6 linked regions of the Coturnix japonica genome follow. The protein of the gene in region 6 interacts with the protein of the main gene of each other region in a biochemical or structural test. Links are inferred from orthologs where the notes say so. Each region holds a gene or a part of one and is shown on either strand. Other genes may lie near its edges.

What was found.
Region 1: the proteins of HDAC3 (region 6) and NR0B2 form a complex in vitro, tested with the Homo sapiens proteins (2 studies listed by BioGRID). The link is inferred for Coturnix japonica from reciprocal best matches to the Homo sapiens genes HDAC3 and NR0B2.
Region 2: the proteins of HDAC3 (region 6) and HIF1A form a complex in vitro, tested with the Homo sapiens proteins (2 studies listed by BioGRID). The link is inferred for Coturnix japonica from reciprocal best matches to the Homo sapiens genes HDAC3 and HIF1A.
Region 3: the proteins of HDAC3 (region 6) and NR2C1 form a complex in vitro, tested with the Homo sapiens proteins (4 studies listed by BioGRID). The link is inferred for Coturnix japonica from reciprocal best matches to the Homo sapiens genes HDAC3 and NR2C1.
Region 4: the proteins of HDAC3 (region 6) and PPARG form a complex in vitro, tested with the Homo sapiens proteins (3 studies listed by BioGRID, with this or other methods). The link is inferred for Coturnix japonica from reciprocal best matches to the Homo sapiens genes HDAC3 and PPARG.
Region 5: the proteins of HDAC3 (region 6) and GTF2I form a complex in vitro, tested with the Homo sapiens proteins (2 studies listed by BioGRID). The link is inferred for Coturnix japonica from reciprocal best matches to the Homo sapiens genes HDAC3 and GTF2I.

What each region holds. Positions count from the first base shown.
Region 1 is NC_029538.1:1,621,961-1,625,935, forward strand, and holds NR0B2 (nuclear receptor subfamily 0 group B member 2), read right to left. Parts: upstream 2,801-3,975; 5' UTR 2,621-2,800; coding exon 2,095-2,620; intron 1,658-2,094; coding exon 1,377-1,657; 3' UTR 399-1,376; downstream 1-398. UniProt on the Homo sapiens protein: Transcriptional regulator that acts as a negative regulator of receptor-dependent signaling pathways. Specifically inhibits transactivation of the nuclear receptor with which it interacts.
Region 2 is NC_029520.1:49,081,680-49,085,179, reverse strand, and holds part of HIF1A (hypoxia-inducible factor 1-alpha), read left to right. Parts: exon of another isoform or gene 1-2,868; coding exon 2,869-3,059; exon of another isoform or gene 3,060-3,396; coding exon 3,397-3,500.
Region 3 is NC_029516.1:41,307,213-41,311,336, reverse strand, and holds the start of NR2C1 (nuclear receptor subfamily 2 group C member 1), read left to right. Parts: upstream 1-1,324; 5' UTR 1,325-1,436; intron 1,437-3,188; 5' UTR 3,189-3,210; coding exon 3,211-3,264; intron 3,265-4,124. UniProt on the Homo sapiens protein: Orphan nuclear receptor. Binds the IR7 element in the promoter of its own gene in an autoregulatory negative feedback mechanism. Primarily repressor of a broad range of genes.
Region 4 is NC_029527.1:3,245,558-3,249,057, reverse strand, and holds part of PPARG (peroxisome proliferator-activated receptor gamma), read right to left. Parts: intron 2,675-3,500; 5' UTR 2,667-2,674; coding exon 2,447-2,666; intron 880-2,446; coding exon 710-879; intron 1-709. UniProt on the Homo sapiens protein: Nuclear receptor that binds peroxisome proliferators such as hypolipidemic drugs and fatty acids.
Region 5 is NC_029534.1:1,909,154-1,913,250, reverse strand, and holds the start of GTF2I (general transcription factor II-I), read left to right. Parts: upstream 1-1,297; 5' UTR 1,298-1,457; coding exon 1,458-1,492; exon of another isoform or gene 1,493-1,571; intron 1,572-1,619; exon of another isoform or gene 1,620-2,600; intron 2,601-2,756; coding exon 2,757-2,862; intron 2,863-3,359; coding exon 3,360-3,498; intron 3,499-4,097. UniProt on the Homo sapiens protein: Interacts with the basal transcription machinery by coordinating the formation of a multiprotein complex at the C-FOS promoter, and linking specific signal responsive activator complexes.
Region 6 is NC_029528.1:14,737,486-14,740,985, forward strand, and holds part of HDAC3 (histone deacetylase 3), read left to right. Parts: intron 1-1,542; exon of another isoform or gene 1,543-1,562; intron 1,563-1,932; coding exon 1,933-2,075; intron 2,076-3,283; coding exon 3,284-3,365; intron 3,366-3,500. UniProt on the Homo sapiens protein: Histone deacetylase that catalyzes the deacetylation of lysine residues on the N-terminal part of the core histones (H2A, H2B, H3 and H4), and some other non-histone substrates.

The sequences.
Region 1 (3,975 bases), on a different chromosome or scaffold from region 6:
GCACGGATGGGCAGCACACAGTTCTCCCAGCAGGCTGCTGTTCAAACACGGTGTGTTTATGGTGGTGGGGAGCCAGGAGGCTTTGTATGGCTGTTCTCCTGTGGGCTGAGGGCTGTGTGTGCACATCCAGGTGAGTCAGCACCAACCTCCTGCATCAGCACCTCCAGGTGTGGCTGTGTGCGTGAAGGAAGGTGCAGCACAGACAGGCTGCAGTTGTGCTGCCTCTGCAGGTTTCAGTGCACAGAGCAGTGTGTGCCCAGCACAGCTCATGGGGCTGCATTGCAATGCTCCCCTATGATTCCCTATGATGCTCCATCCCTGCATTCAGGTGTCCTTCCCACACTGTACCTCCAACAGCTATTTCTACAAGTCCAAAATGCCAGAAATATAACAAAAAATCACCAAAATGTGACACGTTTTTATTAAAAAAATAATTTACTGCATCTTATGTACAAATCAAATGAAGGTCCGCTCATTAAATACTGACATCAGTGACAAAAGCTGCAGGCAGGAGAAGCGAGCTTTCCTACTATGTTGAACCAGCTGGAACTCAAGGCAGGGATGTTTGTTCAGTGTCTGTAGCTCAGTGTGTTCCTGAGCCATTCCAAGTATTGCCATATATATATTGAGGTGTATAGGGAGGATGAAGTGGTGTTCATGCAGCGTTATTTGCCGTACGTTTCACTGCTCTTAGGTAATCCAATCTGTGAGCAATCCTGTTGCAGCTCATGGCATCGTGGGGAGGAGATGCGATGTGATGAGAGGCAGGAGGCGTTCATGAAGCTGGCTGCACGCCCTGTAAGATCTGATGCTTCTCCCTCCTGCTGTCTGAGGAGGATTCTTGGTGGCTGTCTGTGAGATTTCATGCACAGCAGACACTGGCTGATACTTAAAGATCTAATTCCTTACGGCTTGCACCTGGTTGTACTCTACAAGTGATACCACCGAAGATACTCAGCACCCCTAAATACCACTATCAGCACAGAGCCATCACGGGCAGCAAGTTGAGGTCCAACCTCATCTCATGGAGTTAACAAAACACACATTGATTTTAATTGAACTGAGGATTCACTGAGATATAAAAAGCCTGGAGCAGGCTCTAACTCAGTCTGCTCTGTGTCACAGGGCTGGCCTGCTTGCTAGAAACTCAGTACCACCAGCCACACACACTCACATTCCTCAAAACAGACTGGCAGAGGTGGAGCAGCCATGCTGAATCAAGGCTGCTTTCCTTTATGCTCTGAGCCCTACAGCCTAGAGAGAGGCACACGCAAAGCCCTGTGGAGCTGAGTGCCTGACTGCCTGCTCCACAGTCCTCCCTGCTGCCCTGCCAGGTGTTGTTGAGCACCCCCAGGGCTGTGGCAGAGCACAGCAGCTCACAGAGCCACGCGTGGTGAAGGAGCCGGCTGCCAGCTGGTGATTTCATACAGCATATCCACGATGAGCTCGACAATGTCTGCGTTGCCAATGATGGGTCGGAAGAAGAGGTCTGTGATGAGGGCAGGAGGGATGGATTTCAAGGTGGAGGTGATGAGTAAAATGAGGGTAAAGCGGTCCTGGTCCTTGGGGTGTAGGATCTGCACAACTTCCTGAAGCGCTCGCTCGGCTTCCCGCTGGAGGCTCTCGATGTACAGGGAGGCTGTCAGCCCTGGGACATCTGCCAAGAGAAAGGAGGGAAGGATGTGAAGAGGAAGGCTGGAAAACAGCTCGAGGTTTCTCCCATCTCTCTCCCCGTATCTTGGAGAAAAACCTCAGAGCCATTAACAACATGTATTTCAGGGCTGTTGCTTTGAGGGAGTAAATACAGCTAATGAAGCAAACATGGGCTTTGTAGAGTAAGACCCAGGGTTCTTTGATTGCAAGGTAAGGAGGTCTCTGCTTTTAAACACTACATTTTCAGTATCCCTCCTCCCTGCTTCCCAGAGGTAAACTGCATTGCTGGTGCTAATGATGTGAGCAGCTCTCCCTGCTCTCACACACACTTTTGCCCAAACTCTGAGCGACTCCAAGCCAAGAGCAGTGTTTTTAAATGCTAACTCATGCAGGGCTTTCTCTTGCCACCAGCAGGCAGAGCTGGGAGGGTTGAACACTCACCAGGATTAAAGAGAATGGCTCCCTTCAGGTAGGCGTATTCTTTGGGGCTCAAGTCCAGGCTCCAGAAGGTGTTGAGGCTGCACTGCAGCCACTGCACAGCGGCCAGCATGGGCTGAGTCCACTCAGGCTCCTGCCTTTTGCTTTGGCCATCGAGGAGGATCTTCTCAAGCATGCTGGGGGCTGGGGTCTCCATCACCTCAAATGTCACCGTCTCCTGGACCAGCCCCAGGAGGAAGAGGGGGACCCAGCAGCTGTCCAGCAGCAGGAGCTGGTCCCCTCGAGGCAGCAGGTGGAAGGAAGGGAGGTTTTTCATGAAGCTGATGGTTTTCACCAACACGTCGGATGCAGCTTGGCAGGTGATATGGGGTGTCCGGAGGCAGACCGTCCAGCGCTGGTGGCACAGGCAGCGTTGGTGAGGTGGGCTGTGGCTCAGGTTCTGGCTGAGGAGGGTGTAGAGAATGGCTGGGTGTTTGTCTTCATGCTGGCACTGACACCTCTCGCAGTCCATGTCTATGCTGCTGGTCATCAGAGCAGAACTGGGAGCCCCGGATCCTCTGTGAAACTCCGCAGATGGGAGAGACCTGTAAGTTTCCTCCCCGTCTCAATCTGGGAGTGACCTGTCCTCCCAGCTCTGCCAGCACATGGCTGTTCAAACAAGCTCTTATAAGGCTCGGTCACAAGTGGAACACCCCTTCCCAGCCTTGACCGCTCCGTGATTAAGCGGTCCTCATTAAAGAAGAAAAAAAACAACAAAAAAAAAAAGCCACCAACCCCAGCTGTCCCCAGACTGATTGGCTGGAACCAGCAGGATCTCAGCATGGCGTCAATGGCCGTTTTCTCAATGAAACCCCAGCAGGGGCAGCGGGTTGGGCAGCCTTATCACAATTACCCAAACAGTATAAACAAAGTCATTAACCCGGGCTGTACCATGGCACCAAGGCCCCACGCTGCAATCAGGTTGTGCTATCTGGCAGCTGTCGCTGCCAAGGAGTTCACACACACACACACATACACACACACACATACACACACAGGGTGTTCGTCTGAAGCGAGGACCCCATGGCAAATGGCCTTGGAAAGAGCAACCTGGAAGTCATTTTATCAGCAGCTGTTTGCCTAACCTTGTTGACAGGAGATCGGTGTTGTTGCAGTTAAGGAAGGTGGTGAACTGAAAGACTAAACCTAAAGGCAGCAGCCCATTGTGCTGAAGGAGTAATGCTGGGTAGGTGAGAGGCAGGTTTATAGGTTTTTACCTTGAATTGCTCTGGAATTTGTATGTTTTGATCAGCATTAGTTAAATGACAGCACACAATTATGGATTCCAGTGGGGCCTGTGAGGAATTCCTCACACAGGGGGTGCCTGGTGAACCCTGTGAGGATGGGAACAAGTGATTTGGCAGGACACGGGGAAATGGTTTTAAGTTAAAAGAGGGAAGATTTAGGTTGGATGTTAGGGGGAAGTTCTTCACTAGGAGAGTGGTTAGGCCCTGGAACAGGCTGCACAGGGAGGTTGTGGATGCCCCGTCCTTGGAGGTGTTCAAGGCCAGGTTGGACGGGGCCCTGGGCAACCTGATCTATGGGGTCTCTATGGGGTCTCTATGGGGTCTATGGGGTCTATGGGGTCTCTATGGGAATCTATGGGGTCTATGGGGTCTCTATGGGGTCTATGGGGTCTATGGGGTCTCTATGGGGATCTATGGGGTCTCCTGGGCAACCTGATCTAGTAAATGTGTATGTTTTATGGCCCTGCCAGGCAGGGGGTTGGAGCTACATGATCCTTGAGGTCCCTTCCAACCCGGGTCATTCTGTGATTGATTCTGTGATTTAAGGGCACGCAGCTCTTGGTGCACAAATGGGATGGAACTGATGGCCACACTGATG
Region 2 (3,500 bases), on a different chromosome or scaffold from region 6:
TATATCTTGCATTAGATTGCTTTCTGCTTCTGTATCCCATGGCTAGAAACACAAAATGGAAATGAATGTCTGGCAGTGAAATAGGGCAGGAAACATCATACCTGAAAATGCAGGCAATTTCCTGCCTTCCATGGGCATTCCTGCTATTTTCATTGCATGTATGATCCCACTCTTCAACTGTGATGATCTTCTGAAGCTTTAGGTGCAACAGGCCAAAGGTTGTGATAGTCATCTTAAGTTTTTGATGTTGGTGTTGATTAATGAGAACTCTTAATTATAGACTATAGTGACACTTTCTGGCAGCTACACAGTGTGCTTTTTCATTGACTTTGTGCAACTGGAAGTAACAGAGCTTAGATTTGCAACAGCACAAGGGTTTTTTGTTTCTTGCTTTCTCGTATTTGGTGACATCCCATGTTGAGGCAACTCTGACTTCACTTGGTAATTAAACTTCATTTCTGAAAGACCTTTTCCCCATTAATTTGATCCATTAAAGAAATGCTCTTTCAAGCTGGAGGTTAATCTTCCCATTTAAATTGCTGGGTTTTACCCAGATTAGTTACAGCTTAGTTTTCAACAACAGCTAAAAATAGTAAAGCGTTCTGCTGTACAGTTTAAATGTCTATCTATAGTGGTAGCCTTTCTCGTAAGGAAATATGTAGTAAGAGGGAGACCTGGGTCTGCTGCTGGGACATCACTGTTATGAACATTTGGGCTTTCCTTAAGTTTTGCCCATTGTAATGCTGGGCTTCCATAAGCCGTGCTTGATTCACTTGCTGTGGGTTTCATTTTTAAGAGCAGCACTGTGAGCTTGATTTGGGCAATATTCAAGCTAGTAATCAGACATTTAAGGGCCATGGAGAGTTCTGACTTCTCTATTGAAATCTATGCTGAGTGTCCTGAAACCAAACATCAAGAATCCAGCTGAAATGTTTTCAAGAACATGGAGCTTTCAGACAGAAAACAAATGCACGGTAAAGGACTATTTCCATCTCCTGCATTGCCCTTCATTACGTTTCCTTTTTACTTGTGAGCCTGACAAATGCTCAGACTTGAAATACACAGCATTATTGCTAAAGCACAGCTTTAGGTTAAAAGAGCTGTCTGCAGTTGAAAGGGAAGCCATAGTAAAGCTCTGGCATCCATGCCAATGGGAACCAATTACTTCGAATAATTCTGTAGTGGAACGAACCGTTTGCAAGTGAAGGGATCTTGAGTAGCTAACAAAGGAAAACGGGAGGTATAAAGGTGAAACTGTTTAAGGGCTGTGACCTGTATTACCTTTGTCAGAGGCAAAACCTGTGGTCATAGAAAAAGGCCAGAATTGTGAATGGTTTTTCACCTCCACCCTTAGTTTTCCACTGAGATAAAAGATACTGGAGGTCCGACTTCAGTAAGGAATGTTGAATCCATTCTGTTTTAAATAGCTGAATTATTCTTTCAGTACCATTAAAGCTCAAGCTTCTTGTAGTGACTTTCAGGATATACCTATATGTCCAGGGCCTTGGGATTCTTAGGCCAAGATATCCATTTCTTAGTCTTCAGGCTGTGACTGAATGCAGAGAGATCTGCAAGAGAAGAGAGATCACCAGTTACTTCATGCTGCACTTCTGAGGAACACAAACTGCGGTCATAGAAACTGATGGACTTAGTGCACGTCAGGGATTTTTTACTAAGCTAATCATCCGTTAGTTATCTGAAGGTCTCCATTTGTTTATATTTAACTGCTTCCATTGAATCTGGTTCCTTATTTCCCTGGTAATATCAGCATGTGAGTCTCTTTCTTTGGTCACTCTCGGTACCTCTCATAAGATGATGTGCTAATTAAAAAGTTGTATTATATTTGCACAGATCCACAGACATAGCAAGGATAATTTGAGTGGTCTACTGCAATTAGCGAAGTGTCATTCACAATCTGCAGTAGCAAATATAATACAATGTAACAAAGGTCTGTTTTCTGCCATCTTCCATTAGTAACATTTGATCTCTTCATGATGACGTTCAAAGGCACCTGCTTTGAATTACAACAGCTGTACTTATAGAGATACATTTGTTTTCAGTGCAAGTAAATGGAGAAAGGAGGGTCTACTGATCAGTACAACTGTGCTTGGTATCTCAAATACATGCAAAAAGAAGACTAGATGCCTTCAAAAGATATAGATAGATATAGATATATACACAATGCAAAAGCATAATGTATTACTTTCCATAGTCCATTTAAAAATAAAAGCACATTTAACTGCAGTGACCTGATTTCCACTGATGTGGGCACAGGGAGAAGGGACAATTATTGGCATTATTGAATGGCTGAGGATTATGGTTGTTTCTATGCCTGCTGTCATTTACTTGGTGTGTTTGAGGGAGGCAATGGAAGAGGATGTGCAGGGAAAAGTGGGAAAGGGACTTTTCCAAACACTTGAAAGGCAGGACTCCTCATGGTAAATTTGCTTATCTGACCTGTTTGGCAGGCTTTGTAAGGATGACAGCTTTAGCATGTGAGGGATGAGGTGGTATAAAGGGAAAAACTTGGAGAGTGTAAATGGTATTACTAGAGCATCACAGTGGATATAAAGTAAGCTGCAGCATTTTAGGGGGACGTTAGGGTTTAGTGGGGAAACAGGTTTTGAAGGCTAGAGAGGCAGAAGTCAGTGTTCAAGAGAAGGACTGAAAGAACTGTTCTGAAGGACTGACCTTTCATGGTTCTGAATCTAATTCTGGCAGAACTATATACTCTGAACTGCATTTAAATGTGTAAATTGAAGTTTGAACTTAACTGGTTAACTAGCTATGGGCCAGCTTAGTCCATTCAGCATTTAACTTGAGGTAATTTTGTAGCTTTTATATTAATCCTAAACTTTTTAAATACAGGATTAGTTCTGAACGCAGGAAAGAGAAGTCGAGAGATGCAGCCAGATGCCGAAGAAGCAAGGAATCAGAAGTGTTCTATGAACTGGCTCATGAACTGCCCCTGCCCCACACTGTCAGCGCCCACCTGGACAAGGCCTCCATAATGAGGCTGACCATCAGCTACCTGCGCATGAGGAAGCTGCTGGATGCTGGTAAGTGCAGAACTTGTCAGCAGAACCTGGCAAGGGGCTGGATGTGTGTTGAGGGTGACAATATTTCTGAATCAGACAGTGGTTTAAAAGAAATTAATAGCATTTTTGTCAGCTAGACTTTCCTTAAGGTAGAAAGCTTACTGGTGGATGCATGAAAGCAGTCTCACTCTGATGTTCTGAGATTCCTGATACCATTACTAGACCTTGAATTTAACTGAGAGCTTAGATAAGTAAATGATGCTTCTTCTGTACATTTCTGCAAGATTGGCTCCTTGCAGACTGGATTTCTGAAGATAAGAATGACTGATATTTACTGGAATAAAAATGTCTCTTGTAGGTGAGCTGGAGACAGAAGCCAAAATGGAGAAGGAACTGAACTGTTTCTACTTAAAAGCTCTTGATGGATTTGTTATGGTGCTTTCTGAGGATGGGGACATGATT
Region 3 (4,124 bases), on a different chromosome or scaffold from region 6:
GCAAAGACATCTTTTTCAGAATATAGTTAACCACTTCAAGCTTTAAATACAGTCTCTAACACTAGTAGAAGTTTCTCTCACGAGTGCATAACAACCTGAATATACATACCTCAGTAATAAAACTTCTTAATCAGAGTGTGTGGATGTGGTCATTTAACACCATTAGGTTGGGGAGCACCATCATTCTGCTCTTACACTCCTCTTCCTCAGAAGGATGGGGAGGAGATGTGAAAAACTTTCATGTGTTAAGGTAAGGACAGGGATATCAGTCACCAGCTACTGTCAAAGCAAAGCAGACTGGAAGTGTGAGAACTGAAAGCCAACTGAAAACACTACCTTCCTTGCCCGCTCTCTTCTATTTCCCCACCCTGTGAGTGGCGCAGGGGAACTGGGAGTGGGGCTGCAGTCTGTAATGCTTCGTCCCTGCTGCTCCTCCATGGTTTCTCTCTGCCCCTCCTCCACATGGGGTCCCTCCATCCTTCTCAAACTGATGCCTCATGGCCTTCCCACAGGCTGCAGCTCTCCAAGCACTGCCCCAGCACAGCTCTGTACCACAGGGCCCACCCTTCAGGCACTGCTCCACATGGGTCCCCATCAGCAGCAGCTCCCCCAGCCTTCCTGCCCCACCACAGGCTTCACCCCACAGGTTGCAGCTTCAGATGCAGCTGCTCCTGCAGGGGCTCCCCATGTGCTGTGGCTCCTCCAGGCCTCATCCACTGCTGCACCATGGGCTCCTCCATGGCTGCACATGGAGATCTGCTTCGTATGGTACCTGTGGGCTGCAGGAGGATGCCCTGCTCCTCCATGGGCCTCTCCTGGGCTGCAGGCAGCTTTTGTTGAGCAAACCGGTTGTGGCTTTGGGGTCTGATAACCTTTCCTGTTAACATTCAGATCCATTTCTCTCTCCAGGAGGGAATGTTTCAAGAGAGATTTATCTCTCCTGTGTTTCTCAGGCCAAACGTTAGCAGGTGAATAGTACCTAAGCTGTGCTACAGAAGCGCAAATATACTAATGTGTACAAGGAAGAACCCGAGGAATGTAGCAAATGACCTCAAATTCTTTGCCAAGTGAAGGATTTTGTACTTGTTTTTAGTGATGTCATGTATATAGTTTTACATTGCTTCCTGTGCATGTACTTCAGCATGTGGACCAGAAGTCTGCCAGACCACTTTGTGGTCATATACGTGTCCTGGTTTGTTCTTGGGGCTGCCCGTTGCTTTATTTTCATCCTCTTTTTCTTGTTTCTTCACCAGGTTCATCCATAAAATTCCAAAATAAGTGTGTCTAAACTCCAAGGCTCACCTCACAGCAGTTTATAGAGCTGTGCGAATGCATGGGAGACTTCAGATGGCCTAAGTGGACATCATTCTGTGGCTGTGGAAAGGGGTGATCCTACAGTTCCAAGCCACCAGTGGTGCAGCAGTAGCATTTTTATGGTAATGTAATGAGTTAAGTCATTCATTGGGCTGAAAACTAACACAAACTAACATAAAGCTTTGCTTCTGGCTATGAGGTCACAGATATACCAGTGCTGGCATCAGGGGGTGCAGGCAGGAGCAGACCTCAAACTTGTGTTCAGCCTGTAGAAGGCCCTGGGGTGCTCTCATTGCAACCTTCCAGTAAATGGAAGCTTCTAAACAGGAGGGAGGCTAACTTTTGACATGCTCTGATAGCGATGGGAAAAGACTGAACAATTTTAAAGAGGAGAGATTTAGATTAGGTGTTAGGGGGAAAGTCTTTCCTCAGAGGGTGGTGAGGTGTTGGAACAGGTTGCCCAGAGAATTTGTGGGTGCCCCATCGCTGGAGGTATTAAGGACCGAGCAGGATTTAGCCCTGGGCAGCCTGAGCCAGTGGGGGACAGCACTGCCCATGGCAGAGGAGTTGGAGCTGGGTGGGCTTGAAAATGGTCCCTTCCTGCGAAGCTGTTCTGTAATTCCACTTAAGAAAACATCTGTTGGAATACAGTATCACAGCATCACAGTCTCACAGTCTTGTGCAGGTTGGAAGGGACCTTAGAGATCATCGAGTCCAACCCCCGGGATTTGAGCCCCTGTGTAGCAGAGCGGCACTTCTACCACTTGCGCCACAGGGGGGATTCAAACCGGGCATCAGCAGGCTTGAAAATCTTTCCTAGTGGTTGTTTTGCAGCTCACTGTATGTGTGAGTGCTTTAATAGAGCACTCCTGCAAAGATATTGGTACTGATTAGATTTTCTAAGGAGAGAATGCTTTTCAACGTAAGGTTTAGTCTTAGATGTTTTATGTATCTACCTGTCATCTTCTCAATTTAATGAATTAATGAATTAATTTAAGAGTTCATTGGGATAGTAGATAGTTCCTAGAAGTGCTAGCAAAGTTAAAGGGGGAAAATCGATTATACTTGTTATATGTACAGCTTTCCTACATATATAACTACTTCTATTAACACTTTGTCTGCAACGTAAAAGCTATATAATTCAAATATATTCTGTATTTGAAACAAATATTGTGTATAGATAAATCCTTTAATGTAAGAGTACTGTCTTGCCTTGTATAAGTGTTCCTAATACAACTTGTGTCAGAAAATGAAGTGTAGTGCTTCATAATTTGTGTCTGTTCCTTTCACAAACTGCCTAATGAATATCTGGACATAGATGCCCAGACAAACAATGCATACATCTGGATACTTAATGCTGCATTACAGCAGTAATGTATTAAATCCTAGAAAAACCTTCTCATGAAGATCTGGACTTCTTACCCTGCAACCGTAATACTGATGCTAAGTGTAGAATTGGCCTTCAGACACTCTTACTTGCACAAATGGATCCGTGTGTATTTAGAAGTTAAATTTTTTGCCCTTGATTTGCATCAACAAAATTGGCCAGGTTCTAGTTTTAAGGTGTTAATTATGTCCCTGCTAATGTCAGGGCCAATAATAACCTTCTGTTCTCAGGGAGTTCATTATTTTGTTGCTCTTTGTGAGAATAGTGAGGGAAAATGTGAGTTGAGTACAAAGATACAGAAGGTTGCAAATAGGAGATAATTTATTACTTTCACAGTATAATTAAGCTTCACATTTTTGCAGGGATGTCACCTGCAGACAATTATGAGTGTGATTTACGTCTATGGACCCTATTTTCCCGAAGGTGTTTTTTATTAGAAAGGCTGTAGATGTTAAGCATCTTCTTTCCTTTTTTTGTTTTTTGACAGGAAATTCTGGTGATTAACAGTCATGGCAACCATAGAGGAACTGGCCCATCAAATTATTGAGCAGCAAATGGGAGAGGTACAGAATTTTTTCATCATATTTAGGAGGCATTGAATAATAAAATGGACAGAGTAAGATGTAAAAATCCAGGTCCCAAGAGAAAGTAATTCTTAGTACACTCCAAGCTTCAGGAGACCCTCACATGGAAGATGAACTTATTGATTACCATCAAAGTTGTCATTATATAGATGTTACATTCCAGTTACAGAATTCATTCGTTGTCACTTTTGTTCTTATAAGTAAAGGCTTGCTGTGGTCTGCATTGTAAAATATTGGTTGACATTTGGTGTAAGTCAGAGGGAAACTGAACTCTTTCTGTTGGCTCCTGTTTTTCATTTCCTTTAACCTATATACAAAGTGTGCATACTGCAGCTAAAGAACTTCCAGAGATGCACAAGCAGTTTGGAAGTGTGAATCAGTGTATACATACTTAACTAGAACATTCGATCATTAGCAGCGCTTTAAATTAGATAAAAGCAGAAAACAACATTTATTAGCTTGAAATATCCACTCTTGGTTCCCTGTCTAGTACTGTGGATAGGATAAGATTGCACGTAATTTTAGTTCCTCTCGGTCTTGATTTCAAATGTAACAGCTGGGGACATGCAGGATGGTAAATCTGTTCTGTATAAATTCTTACGCTTTTCAGTATTGTAGCATCTGAGAACTACTAAGGTAGTTGTAATTTTTTTTCTTTCTCTCCCTTTTCCTCTTTACAGGGGGGAATGGTGTGTGTAGCGTAGCTTTGTTTGGTAGGATAAGTCCTTGGGGAAGCCTAGGTGGGGCTGTAATTCCTGTTTCTTGTGTTTTGGAAACTGGGGATTAGTCGAAGCTGGCTGAAGCATGTGTTCCAGTTGCAGAGGAGGATGGCAAGTTTA
Region 4 (3,500 bases), on a different chromosome or scaffold from region 6:
AGGTAGAATAAGCACTGCCAGTGTCACTGTCTCAATTCTGTATAGACACGCAAAGCACAGTTCTGCATGTACACAGTCTAACTTTGTATTAGACAGATTTCTGAAGAAAGCAATGCTTGTGTCATCATATCTGCACAGCAGCATGCTCCCATTCTAAAGCCATTTTCTGCCAGCTTGATACGGGTAAAAGTCTAAAAAATAAAAAATAAAAAATCTATAAAAACTAATGGGAATGAATGGGGTTGGAAGGATGCTATGAACATAAATTAACAGTACTACAGAAACTGTGAGCCCAAGAAACGGAAATAGGGCTTTTAGGGCTCATGGGACAAGCAGTCACTCTATTTCTTTCTGTTTGCACTGTGCTAACCTAATTTCACAATGTATATTTCCGGGTTCTATCTTTGATGTTTTATTTTCTAGTTTATTCCTGTTGTTAGGATTTTACAAGTTTGCAAAGTACACTGGCACATGAAAAAATTCAGAAACTTGATACCAAACTCTTGGTAATTATTAAACAGAAATCTTATGAGGTCCTGTAAGGACGGACATCATTATGGAAATTCACAGGTCTGTCTTTTGACAGTCTAAATGTACTTTCTGAAATCAATAATAAGTGATTAATAAAGAAACAATTTAAAAGACTTAAAGCTTATTTAAATGAAAATAATACCAAATATTCAGAGAAAACAGATTTGCAATGACTTACCTTACAGCCTTCACATGCATGAACTCCATAATGAAATCCAGAGGCCTTGTCCCCACACACACGACATTCAATAGCCATAAGTGAGTTGGAAGACTCCTCATGTGGTTTATTGTATAACTGCACTTTTTCAGAAAAATAGGGTGGAGAAGGAGGCTCCATTTTGATTGCACCTGCATATAGAGAAGATTTAAATGAGTAATTCAAAGTATGAGTAAAAATATGGTAGAAGGAAGAATCAGAAACAATCACAGTAAACATAGCCAGATTCATAGGTATGCTTTGTAACACAAAATGATGGTAGCAAACAAAGGATGTTAGGGAGTATAAGCTGTATGCAGATATTTCACTGGTAGTATGTAGGCTGAAAACCTTGAAGAGGCATATAGGAATCATGTCACAAATTCACTTTCCAGCTCTGTAGTGCAGAATGACTTTAATACAGACATGTAAAATTTGCATACAGAGACCTCCTACTTAAAAGGTCTTATTCCTTTTATTAATATCTAATTAGGTGACTTTAAGGTGTTCAGACTACTGCAGAGAGTTGAACTGGACACACTGATCCCATGAAAAACACCTAAGCATCTAATTAACCTACAGTGAATAATTTGTGTATTTAATGAAATTTAACTCTCTCCCAGGACTGCTCAACTTTGGATGCAGTTTAGAGATGAATATTCCCAAATTTTCTAAGTATTGAGAGCACACTGTGGTTGCTTGAGCTTATTCGATATTATAAGTATGACATATTTAAATCAATCACTGCTGATCAAAGAAGGCAATTGTGACAATTGACACCATATATAACATTACATCAAATCATACTTCAGGAATTACATGGCAGATGCAGTATTACCATAACGTGAATGTTTTGTTTTCTGTTTGGCTACACTAAATAAACCGGGAAGTTTTCTTTCCTACAGAAACTACAGGAAAAAAGGAAGCAGAAAATTAGCTGAGAAAAGACCAAGAGGATTTAGCATGCCTAATGATTTAGCTAATCAACTCTTTAGTTTGTTATGAAAATATTATGGAATTTTCTAATCAAGCAAAAGAGAAATAAATTATTAGCAGTAAAGTGTATTTTAATTCACTTCATAAATAACTCAGAAGCACACAGCACCTGGTTCACTCTACTACAAAACTAAATAGTATAATCTTCATGAAAAATTCCTACAAAAGTGATGTCAGATTTGAATAGACTCAGAGGATCTTTAAAAAAGTTCCAGGCACAGCAACCTGACTTCTTACTATGAGCAGGAATGCAATAGCAATTTATTTCAGAGTAGACTACTATTTTTTTATTTTTTACTTTTTCCTCCTTAGAAGGAGAATTCTGTGTACTGTCTTTACATAACTGGGGAAAGGCAATGGTTTTTTGTACCATATAAATAATACTAGGTCACAAAGCTTCAAGGAACACTGTTTTACCAACATAGATGCAGCCAATATTTCTATTCCATCAGTTTCTTAGCCTGTATGGAATTCAAAAGCTCTGTGTATTATTATTTTCTATGTATGCTGCGTGTTACTATATGACGCCTTGTCTAATCACTAGAGGCTACTTGAGTGAAGGCTGTCCTATCAGGATATCACGTGGATATCTCTGTTGATTTTTGGATTCACAGTCTCTGCATTTAGGCATTTGAATCCATCCAGTTCTTTTGCTGGTGGTACAATTTCTGGAGAACAAAGCAAATGTGAGCACGAAGAAACACTGAAAAATAAAAAACATACTTTGGCAATCCTGGAGCTTGATATCATACTTATAATCCATGCTCGTTTGATCAGCTCTTCCAAGAGGTATATCTTCATAGTGTGGTGAAGAAATGCTTGAGAAGTCAACAGTGGTAAATGGCTTTATGTCAAAGGAATGCATATGATCATCCATCGTAGACAGATCCACTGGGCTAATTCCAAAATTAACGGGCCAAAACGGCATTTCTGTGTCAACCATTGTAATCTCTGAAAACAAAAGAAGAAACAGGCTTTTTAAAGATGCTACTTATTTCTGTAATGTGTTTGAGCCAAAGTTGAGGCCTAATTGTCTACTGCCCAAAGGACCGAGATGCAAAGTGTTAATATCAGAATCTTAAATGCAAGGCTCGAGGAAAGTTATTTTATAGCCTTTTAAATCTCATGTATGTTTATGCTGTAAACAAAAAGCTTCAGCCTGTGAAAATCTTTGGCAAACTGAATAAATTTAGACTGAGTAATAAAATGTTAATCTGAGTCAGATGCATATCTGACAGTCAGATGAACCAAAAATCATTGACTTAAACTTCAACTATGAAAAAGTTCACAAACTGACTCATAACAAGTGTTCATATTTAGTTTTCTATGATTCATAAAAATGACATTTTTATCTAAAAATAGAATAGAAATTATGGAACTAAAATAATTTGGTCACTTTGGCTTCTCAATTTGGACTTCAGATCCATCAAATAAGCAACTTTTAACAGCAGCTTTAGCTTCTAATTGACTGAAATAAATGAGATTTAATTTACACAAAGAAGTTTGCATGTACATTATTAACTGCTTTCCTTCCACTGAAAACTATTAACCTCAGCTATGTTGTAAATCTGTTTGCCTATTTCTGGATCACAACACACACAATATGTAATTTCTTCGTACAACAAAACAGCCAGGCAATAATGACCCCAAATCAATGATGTTCATAAGCACTTCAGAATTATAAGAATTCGGTTTTGGATATAAAATCAGAACATTTCAGCATGGATTTAAAGATATAATCTTTACATATGACTGATCTCATAAATATCCTGCAAAC
Region 5 (4,097 bases), on a different chromosome or scaffold from region 6:
TGCACGGAGATGCTTAGAGAGCAGCATAAACAGCATCTGTGCTGCATTCAGAGCCCATTTGCAAGAAAACACTTTGGGAAAAGAAAATGCAGGGAAATGTTAAGTTGGTTTTGCTGGGTTAGGGGTTAACACTGCATGTGGAAGGGGTTATGATGTGGGGTCTCCTCCAGGCTGAATGCCCACAGCTTTGCTCTACAGGAGAGATGCTCCAGCCCTATGAGCATCCTTGTGGCTCCCTCTGGACCCACACCATGGCTTTGCCATTTTATTATTGGCAAAATTGGATGGATGGATGGATGGATGGATGGATGGATGGATGGATGGATGGATGGATGGATGGATGGATGCTCCCTCCTCAAGGATCAGGAAACAGCCAACTCCAAAGAGTGCTATGGGCTCATAACTCCAAAGAGTGCTATGGAATGTTTGTGTGGGCTCATAGGGAGGCTGGAGAAGCTCATAAGCATGAACTGCTGAGCATTCTGAAGCTGGCAAAGCTCATCATGGACAAGAACCTCCTGAAGGCAGCTGGGGTCTGGGTGAGCACCACAGGAAGGCATTGCATGTGCTTGACTGCAGACACACAGCTCTGAGGACGGAAGAGCAAAGAGGAATGCAGGTAGATTGTGTGGAGGAGGCAGTGGTCCCTTGGTCATATCCCTTGGTCATATCTCTTGGTGCTGGTCTATGTTGAACCCAAACTGGTCCTGTTCACTTGGGTCCTGTGTTGGATGAATACTAAGGGATCAGGCACTGTGCTGGGGAAGCCCTGAAGATGTGTAGTCCATTGATTTGTAATGACAGCATCTGTCCATTGGTTTGTAATGACAACGTCTGTCCATTGGTTTGTAATGACAACGTCTGTCCTGCTCCATGGAGCAGCAGGGCACAAAATGGCGGACACCCCCCTAAGGCAGAACACCCCTCCAAGGCCCACGCGTTGGGTTAGCACCCCCCCGCGCGGTGCACGCTGGGAGATGTAGTTCTCCGCCTCAGGCATTGAGCCGCGGCCGCACGGCGGGCGGACTACATATCCCAGCAGCCCCCGCGAAGAGCGCGCATGCGCAATGGTGCATCGATGAATACAAAGCTCCCTCGGTGAGGCGCTGTATTGAGCCCAGAGACCGCAAAGAGGGCGGCGGGTCTTTGGGCCCATCCCAGCACCGAGAGGCTGCGGGAAAAGGGGCCGCTTCCAACACTGTTCCGCTCAGCCCCCACAGCCTGGCCGCGATTGGATGAGGGAGGAGATGGGCGTGATTTGTATGCTAATAAATTAGGGGTGAGGCCTAGTGTGCTCCTGCGATAGGGCCGTGTTGGTGGGGGGGGGGGGGTGGTCCGACCGCTAATTGTAATTAACCTGCCTGGGCCTCGTGGTTGAGCCCCTTTGCATTGCGATCTCCGTGCTGTATCGCCGCCATATCGCCGACAGAACCACGCTGTCTGACTGCAGTGCAGTGATGGAGCTCCGTGCTGACAGCTTCATTGCTGCTCTGTGGGTAATGCTGCTCTATTTGTATGCCTGCCTTGTGAGCAGTGCCGCTGGATGTGGTTTTCATTGTGTCTAAGGCTTTGTGAGTATATATCAGCCTATTTGGGTCTGGAAATAGTGAGATTTGGGTTAAATATTGCTTTACTAGCAGACTAGAGGATGAAAGGAGTCAGAGATGCTCTTAAAGTAGCCAATGTTTGGGTTGTTTCATCTCTTTAAATGGTTTTCGGTAGTAGCAGAGGTAAAATGCATCTTCCTTAGCATCACAGGTGTGCCTGCATCCCAGCAGGGTTCCTGTGCTTTATTAGCTAAATCATATCAAGATTAATGTTTTCTAAATCAAACTTGGGGAAGAAAAATAGAGCTTTCTTCTGCTTTGAGCCAGTAATGGATCTTTAACAAGATTTGCTTGTGTTTAACAGCTGTGAGTTCTAATCTGTGCTGTTCTGATCCGGTTCTTTCTGTCCTTGGTCTGAAGGCTGATGTTTGGGTGGAATTAAACGTGTCTTGGCCTTGAAGGCAGAGCAGCCAAGGGGTGAGACTGGTAACAGCCAGGCAGCAGTCTGGCTTCTAGATAGAGCATTCATTGTAAATCCATGTTCCTTCTTCTTCCAGCTTGGTAAGGCAACAAGTGCTCAGTTAGAATGGTATTTGTTATAGAAATCCCCTGCTGGGCTGTTTTCCCTTGGGAGCAGCGGATCTTTGGCAATGTGCAAGGCTGAGTGCAGGCACGCTTGCAGCAGCTGTGTTTTGGGGTTCTTGGTTACGAGCCTTCCCATCTGCACAGTACGAGTGGTTTTAGTGTTTGTGCTGGGTTAGCTGCTTTGGAGCTGTGTGAGGCTGCTGAGGAATTTGGCTTGCACTCAGACAGCTCAACCCCTAATGAACTTGTGCTGAGAGTTACAGGGCACGTCACTCTAACACCGATGTCAGAACAGGTTTGTCGTTCTATTAATACAAGTCTTCTTCTGCTGTGCCTCTTCAGGCTATTGCAGATATGAACATACACAGAAAGAGAAGTCAGTGTAAATGCAGCTAATCAATTGATATGCATCTCTCTAGGTGTTTTGTCTAGACGTGGCACAGCATTTTAACTTTCAAGCAGCAGGAGGTATGGAAGAACAGAACAGTGAGCGATTTATACTGTTGCTGTACCTGCATATTTGTTCATATGAGGGTATTCTGGGTTTTTGAGCATGTGAATCTGTAGGTGGATATTCCTGCTCTGTTGCTTGTATCTGAACTGGCTTTATATTTGATTTTCCAGGAAGAGAATGGCCCAAGCTACAGTAGCAGCATCATCCGTGCGTGATGAAGACCCGTCTGAAAGCAGGATGGTTGTCACCTTCCTTGTCTCAGCTCTGGAGTCCATGGTTAGTGGCTGCAGTGCTATAGCAATACCTTACCTCCCTCTGGAGAGCTCTTGTGTCTGTACAGGAAGCCTTCCTGCTTCCAGCTCTGTTCTCCAAACAGAGCACTATTTGTGTTAAGTGTGCTGTGGAAGGATAAAACTCCTGTACTAATTCTAGCTAGGACAACACGATTATCTAATTGGAATCTAATTGAAGTGATAATTTCCGAAGGATAGACTGAATAAATCATTTTAATTAAAAGCAGTTCAATTCCTCAGTCTAGATGAGAGCTTAATTTCACTAATGCACCTACAGTGCTTTTAAGGTTTCTCATCAAAAGAATTCCAGATACATAAACTGTCCTTTGCTAATGACTGACATTATGTAACTCATGATATCTTTTGAGGAGTGGATGCTGGCAGCAGGAGTAGTAACTGCTTTAAGTGATTCCACATACATCTTATTACTGTATACGTTTAACAGGGATGATGAATGCTTTTCTCTTTGTCTTTTCATAGTGTAAAGAACTTGCCAAGTCCAAGGCAGAAGTTGCCTGCATTGCTGTCTATGAAACAGACGTTTTTGTGGTTGGAACTGAGAGGGGAAGAGCCTTTGTTGATTCCAGGAAAGATTTTCAGAAGGATTTTGTGAAATACTGTAAGTTTCAAGGTTGTTTAGTTTTGTATTTCACTCCAGCTGCTTCACGTATATTACAAAATACTTGTATCTCTTGAGAGCAGCGTCCTGTATATTGTGGCTGCATTCTGCAAGTAACACCTGCTATAGAATCATTGCTGCATTGCTTTTGTACTCCTTCACATCTGTGGGAGTGTTTTTTGTTTCTGTTAATTTGATATAGTGGAACTTGTGTGATTATGAAGCTTGATCTGTTGTGTACAGGGCAGTGTTTTGAGAGTGGGCTCTCATAGGTGCAGTGATTCTTTGGGTGTTTTACATGCGTGTACAGGAAAATGCTGTTGATGTTCAGTGCTTAGCCAGTAATGCAGTGCCCCTTTATCTGCCTGGGGGAAGGGAGAAGATGAAGGTCAAGAGCAGGATGTGAGAGGACAGCCAGTCTGGGGGAACTTTATAACAACAGCTGTGAGATGTTCTGGCTTGACTAATTACATACTGCGTGCAGTGCAACCGTGTTTAATCTGTAACTGGAAGATCTGCTTCTAAAAGTGCTTTTGCTGATAGCTAAAACTCTGAAGAATTCAGCTGTGGTTAAGCTCTGGATTTGCTCACTGTTGTGC
Region 6 (3,500 bases):
GTGATGCAAGATCTGCAATTAATTCAGAATGATGAAGTATTAAAAAAGCTCCCTTGTGCATTCAGTGTTACTCCTGCAGTTTGGTGTTCAGTAACATCGCATCCTTTGGATTTTTCTGCTGCCATTGTAGGAGCTTTTGCAGGTGTATTAATCAGCAGCTGCTGAGAGTTGAGCCCTATGCAGGGTCCATCCTCACACTGGTGTATGCTGACTTCTTTGGCCAGTCACTGGGAAGCCAATCCCTGTTTGGCACAGTGATGGAATGCAGGCTGGAGGGGATGCTCTATCCCCCTTTAATATCAGCTCTCTCTTCCCAGTGGAACTCCTGGTCCTTGCCACCCACCCTGCCATGTGGCCTTTCCCTTCCTTTGATTTTCTTGTCCCCATCTCCTGCCCCAGCAAAACCTGCTCTTTTTTCTCCTTCCACACTCTGAGGCTTTTTCTCTGCCTCAATTTAGCGGAGGGTTGTTGGAGTTAGGGTACTATGGTTAGGCTGTGGTTGGACTTGATGATCTTTTAGGTCTTTTCCAACCTGAGTGATTCTATGATTCCCTGCTTTTTCTGCTGTGTGTTCCTGCTGCCTTTCCTATGCTGCATTTGGAAGCTGCTGGATCCTGTGGGAACAGATGGAACTCGGTCACTCAGCAAAACCAGGAGAGCTTTGTGCTGAGCTGGCTGAGCGAGGGGCTGAGTGCCAGGCATGCTCAGGGAGGTGCCTGGGGTTATGGCTGCAGTGAGTGAAGGGCAAGATGAGGGGAAAAGAGGCAGCTTTCCACTTTTACCAACAGCAAGTAGGTCTGGAAGCTTTTGATGTTGTCTTTTTTTGTTGTTTTTCATCCCTCCTTTCTGCTCCCCCTGGTTGTTTTTTATCCAAGAGCACCTCTTAATGTCCTGTGAGTGTCTCTTCTTTTCTGTGACACTGTGGTCTTGAGGTGATCAGTCATCAGGATTCCTGATAGTCCTTGTGGGGGTCCAGCCCCACCTGCTGGTCCCACCCTCCTGGCTCCAGCTGTCTCAGGCAGCAGCCTCTGAGGAGCAGAGCTCCACACATTCACATTGAAAGCACCGTGCCTCATGCTGAGCAGTACAGTTGCACAGTAAAGGAGATGTCATGTTTGTTAGGTTGTATTTTACTTCTGAAAAGTATCCAGGGTCCTGCCTGGCCCAAGGGAGGTGCGCTGTGGGAGCTGCCCCAGCATGTTCTCCCTCTGGAGAGTGTGCTTTAATTAAGACAAGCTTTGAAAGATGGAAGATTTTGTTACTGCTTTCAGTGTAGCTTTAATTTCCCCTTTTTGGGTATGTGGTGTTGATTTTTAACTTCCTGTTTATTGAGGTATGCGTGTTAAGTGCCAAACTGGCAAATGTGTGTTGTCATGAGAACTTTAGTTCGAATCCATCCGGCCACGTGACTGTTTTTAGCTGACTTTCCAAAGGAAACAAAGCTTATGCAAATGTTCCATCTGCCTAAGAACCTTCTTCAAATGAATGTCTGAACTTACCAGCCCCTGGAGGCGGCTGTGATGGAGGGTTGGAACCTCCATTACATCAGGATGTTGTGACTGGTGAGGCAGTAGTGCTCCCCATGAGGACAGAGCTGAAGTTTGGATTCGACTGCCTTTTATTTTTGCTGGTTTGCCATTTGTCCAACCAAAGCGAGGGGGGATAGTGTTGGAAAAAAGGGATCAGAGAGTGTATAGGAGAAGCTGCAGTTATTATGAAGGACTGGAGTTGCAGTTATGGCTAAAAGATAGGAATCTGTTGGGAAACAGGCTTTATGGAATGTTGCATGTCAATGAACGTGAATATCAGGAAGCTGGTGTACTGGAACACTTTTAGATACACTTTGTGTGGGTCATTTGTCAGCCTGAGGTTTCTTACAGTCAAAGCAAACACAGCTTTGGACAGCATGTAAGTCTTGTCTTTCTCTTGAAGGTTTTCAAGCCATACCAGGCATCGCAGCATGACATGTGCAGATTCCACTCCGAGGACTACATAGACTTCCTGCAGAGAGTGAGTCCCAACAACATGCAGGGCTTCACCAAAAGCCTCAATGCCTTCAATGTGGGCGATGACTGGTGAGTGCTCTGTGCCTCCTGTGAACCTGGGGGTGGAAATGCTGCTGTGATCTTGCACTGTTTGTGTCTGGAGAACTATTGTAGTGTGTACTGGTTCTTATTTTTTAAGCAGAATGAGGTGCATGCCCTTCTTGAGCATAGCAGATTATTGCAACCTCCTCAATTCCTTCCCCTTCTCTTCATATCTTATCATCCTCCTTTTAGATCTGCATTTACATCCTAAACTGGTTATGTTAGAGACTGTGACTCCGCTTGTTCTTGCAGAACCTCCTGTTCTTCTTGAAAATATTATATATCTATTTTTTTAAACTGTTGCCTATTTTAGCTACCTTAATATGTGCATGTTAAGTGCAAGGTAGCTCTGAGAGCCTGATTTTCAGGTAGAACTGAGGAGAGTTTAATGCTTCTATATTCACATGAGAGCTTGTTACAAATATTCAGTTCCAGTCTTTCACATCTGTGAGAGGCAAACCTTGACAGAAGTGTGTAGAAGGGCTGTATGTGATCGAGGAAGTGCACAGTATGCCTTGTCTGAGGAAAGTAATGGCTGTCAGAGAATAAGACTGTTCTTTTCTATTCTTTGGAAGGGAAAGCTGTAAGTACTAATGTGAGAGGAGTGACATTAGATAAAGAACAGTGTTATCCCAGTAAGGTATTGGGATAGCCGGGTTTTTAATATTTAGACTGGGAATCAGAAGGCTGTTGTGCAACATTACTTTGATCAGAAACCACTTACAAGAATACAGGGGGGGAAATAAAAGTCTCTAAGCTATTATTTGTCCACGTATAATGTTTGTGATGTGATACTTGTGAGTTAGTGGCACATGGGCACCACATCTTCTGTTTCTATACCCTCTTAGAGATCCTGGTGCATTTATTGGCTCTGCATGGTGGGTTTGGTCCTGCCTCAGCTCTGCTGTAAGAGCTGCATTCACATCCACTTACTGTATATTGCATCCTGTGCTGTGAGTTGGGAAGGGGAATGGGCAGGGTCTTCTCAATGCTGATAAAGGAAGATAGCATGGGGCAGACCTGTCCTCCTTCCCAAGTCATATCCCAGCTCTGGACACACATCAGCAGGGCTGCAAGACAGATGCTGGTGTGTTGTGGCAGAGGAGAGCTCTCAGGACTGGCTTTGCTTGGGAGGCGTGTGGAGGAATAAGAAGATGTCCTTTGTTTGAATCATGACTTCTTTTTTTCTTTTTCAGCCCAGTGTTTCCAGGGCTCTTTGAGTTTTGCTCTCGCTACACTGGGGCCTCCTTGCAGGGAGCAACGCAGCTGAACAACAAGGTAACAGAGCTGATGGGCTTGTCTTTGAAACACTGGTAGGAAACAACTGGCTATCAGTTCAATGACATGAATGTGTTTAGTATAATAATGTAGCAAACTATGCTTTTTTGCAGTGTAAATTCTTTCCACTATATG